3 linked regions of the Macaca mulatta genome follow. The protein of the gene in region 3 interacts with the protein of the main gene of each other region in a biochemical or structural test. Links are inferred from orthologs where the notes say so. Each region holds a gene or a part of one and is shown on either strand. Other genes may lie near its edges. The genes, in order: JUP, PKP1 and DSG1.

Region 1 (3,646 bases), on a different chromosome or scaffold from region 3:
TCACCCCAGCTGGTGGCCGCTGTCGTGCGCACCATGCAGAATACCAGTGACCTGGACACGGCCCGCTGTACCACCAGCATCCTGCACAACCTCTCCCACCACCGGGAGGGGCTGCTCGCCATCTTCAAGTCGGGCGGCATCCCTGCTCTGGTCCGCATGCTCAGGTACCCACCCCTGCTCAGTGCAGGAGTCCAGGACCCCGCCTCACTTGGGCCTCTCCCCTCCCTTCCCTGGGCTTCCATAAATACCCAGCGAGCAACTATCATGTGCCAGGCAGAGGCACACCCCATCCTGGTGCTCAGTGGCTCACAGCCCAGCAGGGAACACAGGCATGTAAACAGCAGGTTAATGATCAGGATATGACACAGGCTGTGGCAGAAGAGCATTGAGGTTGCTCAGAGGTGGAATCGCTTAATGGCAGGGGATTAACAGATGAGTGGAGTTTGGCTAGTGTGGAGGAACCGAAGAGTGTCCCAGGCAGAGGGAACAGCAAATGCAAAGTTCCTTACAAACTTTCTGTTTCTGGGCCCCCTACAAAATGTTGATTGGTCTCATTTCTCGTTTTTTTTGAGATGAGGTCTTGCTGTCGCCCAAGCTGGACTGCAGTGGCATGATCTCAGCTCACTGCAGCTTCCACCTCCCAGGTTTGAATATTCCTTCTGCCTCAGTCTCCTGAGTAGCTGGGATTACAAGTGTCTGCCACCATGCCCAGCTAATTTTTTTTTTTTTTTTTGAGACAGAGTTTTCCTCTTGTTGCCCAGGCTGGAGTGCAGTGGCGCAGTCTCAGCTCACTGCAACCTCCGCCTCCCGGGTTCAAGCGATTCTCCTGCCTTAGCCTCCCAAGTAGCAGGGATTACAGGTGCCCACCACCACGCCTGGCTAATTTTTGTATTTTTAGTAAAGATGGGGTTTCACCATGTTGGCCAGGCTAGTCTTGAACTCCTGACCTCAGGTGATCTGCCCGCCTTGGCCTCCCAAAGTGCTGGGATTATAGGCGTCTGCCACCATGTCGAGCTCAATTTTGTATTTTTAATAGAGACGGAGTTTCGCCACGTTGGCCAGGCTGGTCTCGAACTCCTAACCTCAGGTGATCCCCCGCCTCGGCCTCCCAAAGTGCTGAGATTACAGACGTGAGCCACCGCGCCTGGCCTCATTTCTCATCCCTATACCAGGCTGGGAGCTCCATGAAGGGGAGACACTGATTTCATTCCCCTCTGAACACCTTGCAAGGCCTCTCTAATATGTGGCCTTCCACATGGTAGTTACTTAGTAGGGATCAGTGTCTAGGGACCTGCTGTGTGCTCAGCACAGGGCTGGGGGCTCAGAAGCAGGAGGAGTCATTGTCTCAGTTGGGAGAAGACAGGTGCTGTTTGCTTCATGCTTAAGAGCCGGGCAGGCTCAAGGAGTGATGAGATTTTAGCAAAGGGATATTTCCAGAGGGGTGTCAGTAGTGGGGAGGCTTCCTGGGGGAGGTGGGAACCCATACCAGGCTCACATGTATGCCAGGCCCCTGGGACCTCGGCATACTAACCCCTGCCCACCCCCCCAGCTCCCCTGTGGAGTCGGTCCTGTTCTACGCCATCACCACGCTGCATAACCTGCTCCTGTACCAGGAGGGCGCCAAGATGGCCGTGCGCCTGGCTGACGGGCTGCAAAAGATGGTGCCCCTGCTCAACAAGAACAATCCCAAGTTCCTGGCCATCACCACCGACTGCCTGCAGCTCCTGGCCTACGGCAACCAGGAGAGCAAGGTGGGCCCTCCCCAACCCTCCTGAGGCCTGAAGCCCACCCTTGCGTCACCCTCTATCCTCCACAGCTTCGGGCTGCTGCCCCTTACTCCTTTTAGATGAGATATAGGGGCAGATGTGCATGCTTCATCATGCGACTGAATTGGTCAGAATTATTATTTTGAGCATAAGGAAAAAAAATCACTCATCCTCATACAGCCACTATTGTCATTTCGATATGCTCCGTTAAGAGCTGTTCTGTGGGCAGACTACAGATGTGTGCACATTCTTGTCATAACAATCTGCAACATTGCATCTGTTTTCTGCCTGCTTTTTTTTTTTTTTTTTTTTGAGACAGGGTCACCCAGGCTGGAGTGCAGTGGTGTAATCAGGGCTCACTGCAACCTTGACTTCCTGGGCTCAGATGATCCTCCCACCTCGGCCTCCAGAGTAGCTGGGACTTCAGGCATGTGCCACCATGCCCGACTAGTTCTTTTTTACTCTTCTTTTTTTTTTTTTTTTTTTTTGAGATGGAGTCTCACTCTGTCGCCTAGGCTGGAGTGCGGTGGCGCAATCTCAGCTGACTGCAACTTCCGCCTCCCGGGTTCAAGTGATTCTCCTGCCTCAGCCTCCCAAGTAGCTGGGATTACAGGTGCCCACCACTATGCTCAGCTAATTTTTGTATTTTTAGTAGAGACAAGGTTTCACCAGGTTGGCCAGGCTGGTCTCAAACTCCTGACCTTAGGTGATCCATCTGCCTTGGCCTCCCAAAGTGCTGGGATTACAGGCGTGAGCCACTGCACCGGGCCCCCGACTAATTTTTTGTAGAGGTGAGATTTCTCCATGTTGCCCAGGCTGGTCTCAAACTCCTAGGTTCAAGTGATCTGTCTGCCTTGGCCTCCCAAAGTGTCAGGATTACAGGTATGAGCCACTGTGTCTGGCCTGCATGATGTTTAAAAAAAATTGTTTTTGCTCTGTTGTCCTCAAAACCACCCTCTAATAATGACAGATTGCCTTTCCTTTCCCCTTTCCCCTTTCTTTTTCCTTTTCCTTTCCCTTTTCCTCTCTTCCTCTCTTTCTTCCTTCCTTCCCATTTCTTCCTTTTCTTTCTTTTTTGAGATAGGGTCTCACTGTGTTACCCAGGCTAGAGTACAGTGGCATGATCCTAGCTCACTGCAACCTCAAAATCCTGAGCTCAAGCATTCCTCCCACCTTAGCCTTCCTGATAACTAGGACTACAGAAACGTACCAATGAGCTAATTAGCACCTGGGCTAAGTTTTAAATTTTTTATGGGGATGGGGTCTTGCTCTGTTGCCCAGGCTACCCTCAAGGAATCCTCCTGCCTCAGCCTCCGAAATAGTGGGATTAAAGTCATGAGCCACCATACCTAGCCTACAGATAGCATTTCATTAAGTGGAGACCTTAGGCTTTATTCTGAGGGAGGGTATTTAGATTGCTCCTATTCCACCTTTATAAACAATGCTGTCTAACGAATTAACGAATGTCTTTGGGCATATAGCCTTTGTCAAAGAGTGGAAAAAATTCTCATTGATTTTTAACAGTTCTAGGCTTTTACCCAAATGGCCAGACTGATTTCCAGAAGGATTGGACTAATTTCCAGTGCCATAACTGGTAATGGATGTGCATATAGTTTTGTCACATCCTTGTCAGCACTAGGTATTATCCTTTTTTTCAAAATTTTGGCTTACATAACAGTCATGAAACTATTGGGGTGGGCTGGGTGTGGTGGCTCACGCCTGTAATCCCAGCACTTTGGGAGGCCGAGGTAGGTGAATTGCCTGAGGTCAGGAGTTTGAAACCAGCCTGGCCAACATAGTGAAACCCCATCCCCACCAAAAACACAGAAATTAGCCGGGCGTGGTGGCACATGCCTGTAATCCCAGCCACTTGGGAGGCT
Region 2 (4,287 bases), on a different chromosome or scaffold from region 3:
CAAGGCTCTATCCAGTCCTGGTGGTCTACGGCTGGAAGCAGAATCTTACAATGTGAAATGATAATAGAGGTCTACAGGTGTTTTGTACACATCTATGACATATTTTTGGTCACATCTCTGGTTTACTTGAGGATAAATTCTTAGGAACAGAGCCCTCAATAATAAAATTGTTTCTATTAGAAACTACAGTCTGTTTTACAACACTCTGCTCTGGAAATTGCTACCAGGAATACCTTCCTTGGGCAAGTTGCTCCCAGCATGTAACACTCACACTCAGGAAGTGCGTGAGTGACCTTCATGTGGTCCCTGAGACAGTCATTCAGTCTTCTAGATCCTTCCTCGACATAAAATTCCCAAAAAGAATAGATTTCTGATTGCCCTTTCCTCCGTAGATTAGAAGAGCAAACTAAAAGTAAAGCATGTGAGCTGTGAAGGGCAACCTCAAATGACAGCAAGAGTGACGGCTGTGATAGTGTCACACAGCTGGTGGAGGCCCCAAAACTAAGAAGCTGACTGGACTGCACGACTACACAGTTCAGTAATGGATGTCCAGAATGTGAAACTCAGGGCATCAAGAAGTACAGCAAATATGTTCAGTGTTGTTTGCTTTAGGAGGCAAAGCAGAATGCGATACTTTTTAGAAAGATTTCCATCAAAGTAAATACTTTAAAAAAAAAAAAAAAAGCACTCGGTTCCTGTTACACACCAGATTCACTGATGTGGGCTCTCTCCATCCCTGGGGAGGATGCTACATGAATGAAGCTTCACTGCACATGTGTCCCCAGGGGTGTGAGTGTGCATAGGGGAATGCACACAGTGGTCCCAAAATAGTAAGTCCAGAGTGGAGTTTCAGGATAAAGCAGCTTTTCAATTTTTCAGTGAGGATCTCGTTAGGATCCAAGTTAGATTTAATTTACCTTAAATTAACTAGCATTCATGTATTCACCTATTTAAAAATATCTTTTATTGAGTACCTAATATTACCTGTGCCAGGCATTGTATCAGAGGCTACAGTGGAGTTTCAGAGAGGATCCGCTGTTCACGTGGTGTTTTACCGGGCTATACTCATGAACAACAAACAACCACCAGTTTCACCAAGGCATACCCACTGTGTGGTCTGATATCTCAAGTCTGCTCCTTGATGTGGCCTTCCTGCCCCTACCCGACTTGCTTCAGAGGAAACTGCTTTAGAGTAGACTGGGTTGCCCCCATAAGATGGAGCACTCCTTTGGAGCAAGAGCTATGGTTCTGCCATCAGCCCGGGAGCCTCCACCGCCGGGGCTGGTCTCTGCTATGACCGCAGTACAGAGGGAGATGGACGCCTGGCTCTCCCGGACAGCCTGGTCAAGAAAGACTCCTTTTTTCCTAGAGAGAGGTCTCCCTCGGTTCCTGAGCTGAACACATGCTTTCTCAGTGAGCCGGCAGAACAGGACAGAGGGGCGTCTCCCTGGGGCCTCAAGGCTTGCGACGTTTCTTGCTCATGGGGAGAGGAAAAGGAGAGAAAAAAAGAGCGAGCAGGAAGGCGCTCAGTGTCCCACACGGGGGACTCGTAGCCCTGCCCCCAAGAGCGCTGGCTCCGCAGCAGCAGTGCCCTGCAGCTCCGCGTCTGAGCGGCAGCAGCGCGCGGCCAGGTGGAGTGGGTGGTGCAGGGCAGGGGTGGTATATCCTGTCTGACGGAGGGCGGGCCTCGCCACTACCAAAGAGGGACGAACCGGGGTGGAAGCGCCAGGAGCAGCTGCCGGGAGCCCTCACGCGGACCACGCACTCTATGGCCGTAGGGAGCTGCTGAGAGCGAGAAGAGCACGTTACCGCCCGCCCGCTGCACCGCACCTCGCCTCGCCTCTCTGCTCTCCCAGGCCCCGGCCGCGCGCCTCCAGCCTCCCGCCACCATGAACCACTCGCCGCTCAAGACCGCCTTGGCGTACGAATGCTTCCAGGACCAGGACAACTCCACTTTGGCTTTGCCGTCGGACCAAAAGATGAAAACAGGCACGTCTGGCAGGCAGCGCGTGCAGGAGCAGGTGATGATGACCGTGAAGCGGCAGAAGTCCAAGTCTTCCCAGTCGTCCACCCTGAGCCACTCCAATCGAGGTAAAGGCTCGGTCCCCGCGTGGTCCGTGCGCCCCTTTTCAGAGCGCCCTGGCCCAGCGGCGGAGACCAAGGGACGCAAGCATCCCAGGGGGTGCGGGGAGGTGAGGGGCTGCTGGCCCCATGCAGGGTCTACGCGCCGAATGCCAGCAGCCGAGCTCCTAGCCGGTTCCGAGCAGATGGAACAGCCACCCGAGGCTGGCTCGACAGCTCCACGAGCTCGATGGCGCGCTAGTGGGCAAGGATGGGTGGTTCACCCGGACACAGCCGGCAGTATCTCCCAGCGTGCCAGGAGGCTGAGGATCCCCCGCGAGCGGTTCTCCTGTCCCTGAGCCCTGGGTCTGGACGGCTTTCTCTTTCGGGTGCTGCTCTAGGGATCAGCCCTGCATCATGTCTCACCCTGGCTGTCCTGGGGGCCATGGTCCCCGCGCTCGCAATCAGTTGTGGGCCACCCTTCAACCTTCCTGGGCTTGATCTCCTGGCCTTCAGCTGGCAGCCGATGCCCGGCGTTCAGGCCAAGGGGAACCCCAGTCCCCGTGTGCGTGTGTATCCGCGAGCGGCGTGAGGGAGTCGCTGAGACAGGAGTGCAGCTCAGGAGAGTCGCTGCGGGACGGGGAAGTGGCACAGGGAGCAGGGAGGAGGCCCTGGAACTCCAGGGCACTTTATTGGGAGCCTCCTGAAAGAGGCTAGCCTAGTTGGAAGGCCGCCCCAGGGCCAGTGGGTCCCTTGACAACAGGGAAGGGGGTCAGGATGCCTTCTTTCCCGAATAGCCAATGCAGAACTCCTCTTTCCCACTGAATTCTTTCTACCCCACCCAGCTTAGGTAGACAAGTGTCTCATGGGGAGAGTAAGGAATGAGCATGGCAGGTTGGAAATACCCCTAGGCACCAGGGAGACCTCTAGCTGAGCCCTCACGGGAACTTTTCCAAGCTGGATCCCGGGCCTGGCACCCCCTCCTCCAGCTTCTGAGAGGCCAGAGCCCATGACTGGGGAAGCCTGGGAGAAAGGGGCAGCACCCGCGAAACTCAAGGAGGAAGGGGCAGTACCTGACAGGGGAGAGCTTATAGACCAAACAGATGCTTTAATACAAAGGATGCCTGGTAAGAATTACACAGAAGTGAGCAAAGATTCCCCTTGTTTATTTATTTACTTATTTTATTTAGCTAAATTTAGTAAAATACTAATAAAGACTTTGCCCACCACTAACCAGTACAGGTAAACCAAGACTTATTTATTAAGACAGGCCTTAGGAGAGAGTGAGGGGCAGGGGGTCATAAGGTGGAAGGAGACAAAAGAAACCAGCCTTGGCCATTCTCCCACCACACACACACACACACACACACACACACACACACACACACACACACACCCCTACCTCACACTTTCTACCTCTGGCTTCTGTCCCCCCACCCACTCCCTAGCCCCCATTCCTGAGTGGCCCCATGTAGAGCCGAAGGAAGGAAAATGGCGGGCAGATGACTTCCTGGGCCCCAGACCTAAAGGCCTTTGCTGCTCTGTGCTCTTTGCCTTTGTCTGAGCCCTGGGCTCCTCTCCTCACATTTCCACTCAAGTTCGTGCCGCCTCCAGAGCACATGCCTCCTTCCCTTTTATTTGGTGCATTGTTAGGTGCCTCCTAGCCTTTTTAGAAGTAGGTTTGGAAGAACAAAGTGCCCCATTTCTGGCTATAGCCCAGGGCACTGCTCAATCTACTCTCCTCTCTGCCCAAGACTTGGCTGTCCCCTTCCCACTTCCACTCCATCCCAGCCTGAGCTCTTGGCTCACAACTCCAGAAAACTCAAATGGCCCTGGGTGCCCCAAGGACCCCTTATTCCTCCCACCTATCAGGATATCGGCTGAGTGTCTGTCAGCCTGAAGTGTACTTTCTGGGCTTGGTCTTTGTGGGGAACCTCTATCTGATAAGGTCTCCTTTGTTCCCTCTTTGTTTTTCCTCCCAAGGTCCTTCAGGGGGCTTCATTGAGGGGAGGGTTGATGCTGATGGCTACCTCTCCAGAAACTCCAAGGTCTGGCCCTGTGGGCGTGTCCCCTCTACCCTCAGACTCTGCGGAGGTTCCTAAAGGAGGCTGGTTTCCCCAGAGGCATCCTTGCTGGAAGAGGCGGTTTGGTCACTTGGAGCTGGTGTTTCTGGTTTAGCTGGCTTCGTTTTCATCAGATTTCCTTGTCCTCTCCATCAGAAACGCC
Region 3 (4,161 bases):
CATCTTTCTAAATTTTATTTATTTACATCTGCTATTTACAATCATAAGCATTCTTATTCACTGCAAATAAACATGGGCAGGCTATCTCCTACCCTCTACAGTCTATGATGGATAATATGAAAATTCAAACCATGCATCTTCTTTGCCACAAATCTGTAGTGAAATGACAGCCTTCTATAGACTCTCTGACCCTCAGAGATATTCTTCCTTTTGGAGACATTTTGAGTACTTTTTGACCATAATCAACATCTCATCAGATAGGTCTCTTGTTCCAAGTAGCCGTTTCAAACTCTGAGGGCATCTAGTGCCTATGAGCTTCCTGCCACTCACAATATTTATACTAGACATTGTCAGGGGAAGAGAAGAGAGTCCAAAAATATGTCCAAATGCTGCCTTGTGAAGGTTGCTATTTGTTTTCACAAACCTCAGGGCTGCATTCAGTTTCCCATCTACATGTGTAGGCAGCCATTTCTTCAGTGTATTCCCTGTGTTCTAATTGGCTCACTGTACAGATTCTTGGCTCTGTGCTTGGGAATTGTCATTGACTTTTAACCCACCTCACCTGTTGAGCAGCTTTCTGTGTTTCCATTAGTATTTCAGGCACCAAATCTCATTTTTAAAATTATTATCAGGATTTTAATTGATAGTCCTCACTATTCACCCTTAATTAAGTTTAGTAATATTTAAATTTTTGTTTTATTGTATTTAAAAAAAAAGAATCATAAAGAAAGAAAAATACTTAGGGAAAGAAAATCATTCCTTTAGAGGGAAAATGGAGGATTCCTTAGACTTAAGGCTGGTCAGTTAATGGGAATTGTGACTTATGCAGAGGTTCTAATAATTATAAGCATCACAGTTTTACTTATTGGAATTAATAACTTTAAAAAAGCCTCACTCGCATTAGCAAATTTTCCTTCTCTTAACAGCTGAAAATAACTGAAACTTTCCCAACATCTACTAAAATGGAAAATTTGTAATTTTCTACTATGACCCGAGGGTTTGGCTACAAACAGCTAATCGAATGAATAATATGAGCATTCAAGTTATACCTGCCTGTTGAATATGGGGAGAAACTAAACTAGCTGTAAAGAAAGCATGGGGTGAGAAGCCCCCATCACCTGTATAACCCTCCACATTTCTGTTCACTTTAAGAGCCTGCTACTGAAAACCTTCAGTAAAGGAGTGAATCTTCCTTGCCCCATCGAGAGTTGCTTTTCAGCTAGAAGAAGGGTGTGTCCCCAAGTTTTTACCTGGGAGCAATGATGATCTTGTCAAGCATTTCAGTGAGACCAGCCCAAGTTTTTAGGGTGGGGATCCAGACTGGTTATACGTACCTTCAGTCCTTCTCCCAGAGGAAGGCAGAAACACCTCAAAGCCTGCATGTAAGAACATCTACTGAGAAATTATTTTAATCAGACACCAGCTGAGTGGGAGAAAGAAAAAGAACAGAGAAGAACAAACAAAACTCCCTTGGTCTTGGATGTAAGAGAATCCAGCAGAGATGGACTGGTGTTTCTTCAGAGTAGCTGCAGTGCTGTTCATTTTTCTGGTGAGTGGATTCTGGTAAAAACCCTTCATAATCATGCTCATTGTAAACAAGTGAAAACTTTTTAGAAAATGTTAGTAGGCATTATTTCTAACCTAAACCCATTTAAAATATATGTTAATGACAAGGTGATTTTATGAACTAGATTTTTCAATAGCATTTCTCTCTAACTGAAGACTCAAGATCATGTTAATGCATCAGTGTCAACTCATTGTATTACATCTCTGACATTGAAGTCATTGCTAAGTCATGCTGGGAAAATATTGAATTTAGGAAATTCCTATCGCTAGTTAGTAGCACTTTGTGGTTCAAAATCTCTTGCAAGAGGGCTTTTAAACTAAATATCACAAGTGTGTCTGGGTTTTTAACCTAATTTTGTTTTTTGTTTTTTGTTTTTTTAGTATCTTTGATAGTGGAATTACTCTAATTTTTAAAACATAAAAATGGCATCCACATAATTTAAAATCATAGCAGTTTGTGGCTGGCCTCGCTATCCAAATAAACTCATCAGTTGCATATTTGGTTAGAATCTGTATCACTACTTTACAAAGCCCCACACTGTTTATGATTTTATTTAAAACATTTTTAATTTCAAAAAATGGCAGTATAGGAGGTTTATAAATGACATATGAAGTGAAGAAGTGGCTACAATTAAAGAGTAAATATAACTATTATTACACTTGATCTTACTACTGGAATGTCAGTGATGACTGTGATACAAAAGTTGTGCACTTGATGGTCAGACGAATGTGATGAAATACTTTACCATTGCCCCCTTACATGTAATTCGTTTTCTCTTTGTAGAGATAATACTAAGTGCACCACTAATGTATTATGTCAATTTCACTTTCAGTGAAAATTTGAAAATTGTAATCTCTCTCACAATAAGGTTAATGTAATTCAAAAAGGCAGGTGCCAAGTCAATTGCCCTCCAGCTTGGCAGGATGTATAATGCTGTGGTTCACATTTGTTTCTACTTGCTTGATTTTTGAACTGGAATGTTGGGTTGGTATAATAAGTTAGATCTTTGATTCAAGGTATGCTGGTTAGTTTGAATTCAGTTTATTAACTAAGGCAGGACATAATCAGTGGATTTAGTTATAAATGAGCATCAGTAAAATGGTGGCTTTACTTCCAAGCTTTCCTTCAAACATTAGTCTTATCCCATACTCTTTTCAGTGGATATTTAGAATCAGTTGATTTCATTACTTAGGGTTTGGTAGGGATCACTGAGCATCATACAGTATGTCATTTGAAATGCAAGAGTTTCATATTGTCAGTAATCAAATACTTTGACTTAAAATTTCAAATAAATTTGATCCATTAAGGGCTATTATAGTTTTAGTTGATCAGCTTGTTCAGAAAGGTGTACACTAACTTTCATAGAATCTCTAAGATGTACCTTATTTCTTGATTTATTTATTTCAAATTAATTACAGCATATCAAATGTCTTTAAACAATCACTTTCTATTTAGTCATTCTTCAATAAAATGTATCATCATCAAAATCGTTTATCTTTATTGAACTTTCTCTGGCTGTGCCTAGATTGTTTTTTGTTGGTTTATGGGTTGTTTTTGGGAATGGGGGAAGAGGAGGTTACCTTATTTTATATTGAAATCAATCACAAGTCTCTCACATGCCTTATGAAAATTATTTCTCAAATAACTTACACTATCATGAATTACAATGTTTCATTTTCACGTTGACATGACAGCTTTTTTTTTTAAAAAACATTTCACTTTCTAAGGTTTGGAAGATCAAAATTTATTTTAAGTACTGATTTTGCCACATGGGATAATTTTGGTAATTGTCCTTTGGAGTTTCCTAATCTGTATTTTTCTTTAAAATACTTTTTTCTTCAAAACAACCACCCACTATAGCAAATTATTTCAGTTATCTTTCTTCTAGTCTCATTATAAATGCGTGCTTTTACCAAAAAGTGAAAAAAATCTGTGTAAAGTCTTTATATTCATCTCTACTCAAAGTCAGTAAGTGGGAACCTGCATTAGGAAGTGTGTTTGTACCGTAGTTAAGGCCTTTAAGATATTCAAATTGGTCATGTCTTTTAAGCACATCCACCTGAGAACTGGGTAACTATCTGTTTGCAAGCATACTGTGTATTCAGCTCAATGCATCTGAAGGTTGTGAACCTTGTTCAAATGAGTGGGTTGAATCAGGGAGAACAAAGCTGGAGGAGCTGCTCTTACAGCAAACAAGATTGCTCTATGGCTAGTCTATTGTTCTGACAAGTCTCCTAGACAGACAAGAGATTACACCTGCTATAACACTGCAAGTCAAACACGTTTTGTTAATTCTACATCTATTTTGCTTTCTTCTTTTTGTTTCCGTATAATCATTGCATGGAGTAGGGAAAGGAGTTAGAATGTATTTTCTCTAGGCCAGAGAACAATGCTTCCTATGCACCAGATAAAAGAAATCTGTGTGCATGTGTATGACAATGGTAAAAAGTACAGCATGGTCACTGTGGGAAAGCAAAACAGAGCCAGCGGGATCTCTATGGTTTTAATGATTTCTGAAAATTACTTGCAACTTTGCCAGGTCCAATTAGTCCGTTTAAGTCACTACAAATATGAAGATGTCTTTTTCTAAAAAG

What was found.
Region 1: the proteins of DSG1 (region 3) and JUP form a complex in vitro, tested with the Homo sapiens proteins (2 studies listed by BioGRID and IntAct). The link is inferred for Macaca mulatta from reciprocal best matches to the Homo sapiens genes DSG1 and JUP.
Region 2: the proteins of DSG1 (region 3) and PKP1 form a complex in vitro, tested with the Homo sapiens proteins (2 studies listed by BioGRID and IntAct). The link is inferred for Macaca mulatta from reciprocal best matches to the Homo sapiens genes DSG1 and PKP1.

What each region holds. Positions count from the first base shown.
Region 1 is NC_133421.1:66,096,134-66,099,779, reverse strand, and holds part of JUP (junction plakoglobin), read left to right. Parts: coding exon 1-164; intron 165-1,549; coding exon 1,550-1,751; intron 1,752-3,646. UniProt on the Homo sapiens protein: Common junctional plaque protein. The membrane-associated plaques are architectural elements in an important strategic position to influence the arrangement and function of both the cytoskeleton and the cells within the tissue.
Region 2 is NC_133406.1:58,927,570-58,931,856, forward strand, and holds the start of PKP1 (plakophilin-1), read left to right. Parts: upstream 1-1,481; 5' UTR 1,482-1,889; coding exon 1,890-2,091; intron 2,092-4,287. UniProt on the Homo sapiens protein: A component of desmosome cell-cell junctions which are required for positive regulation of cellular adhesion.
Region 3 is NC_133423.1:61,190,773-61,194,933, reverse strand, and holds the start of DSG1 (desmoglein-1), read left to right. Parts: upstream 1-1,273; 5' UTR 1,274-1,501; coding exon 1,502-1,549; intron 1,550-4,161. UniProt on the Homo sapiens protein: Component of intercellular desmosome junctions. Involved in the interaction of plaque proteins and intermediate filaments mediating cell-cell adhesion.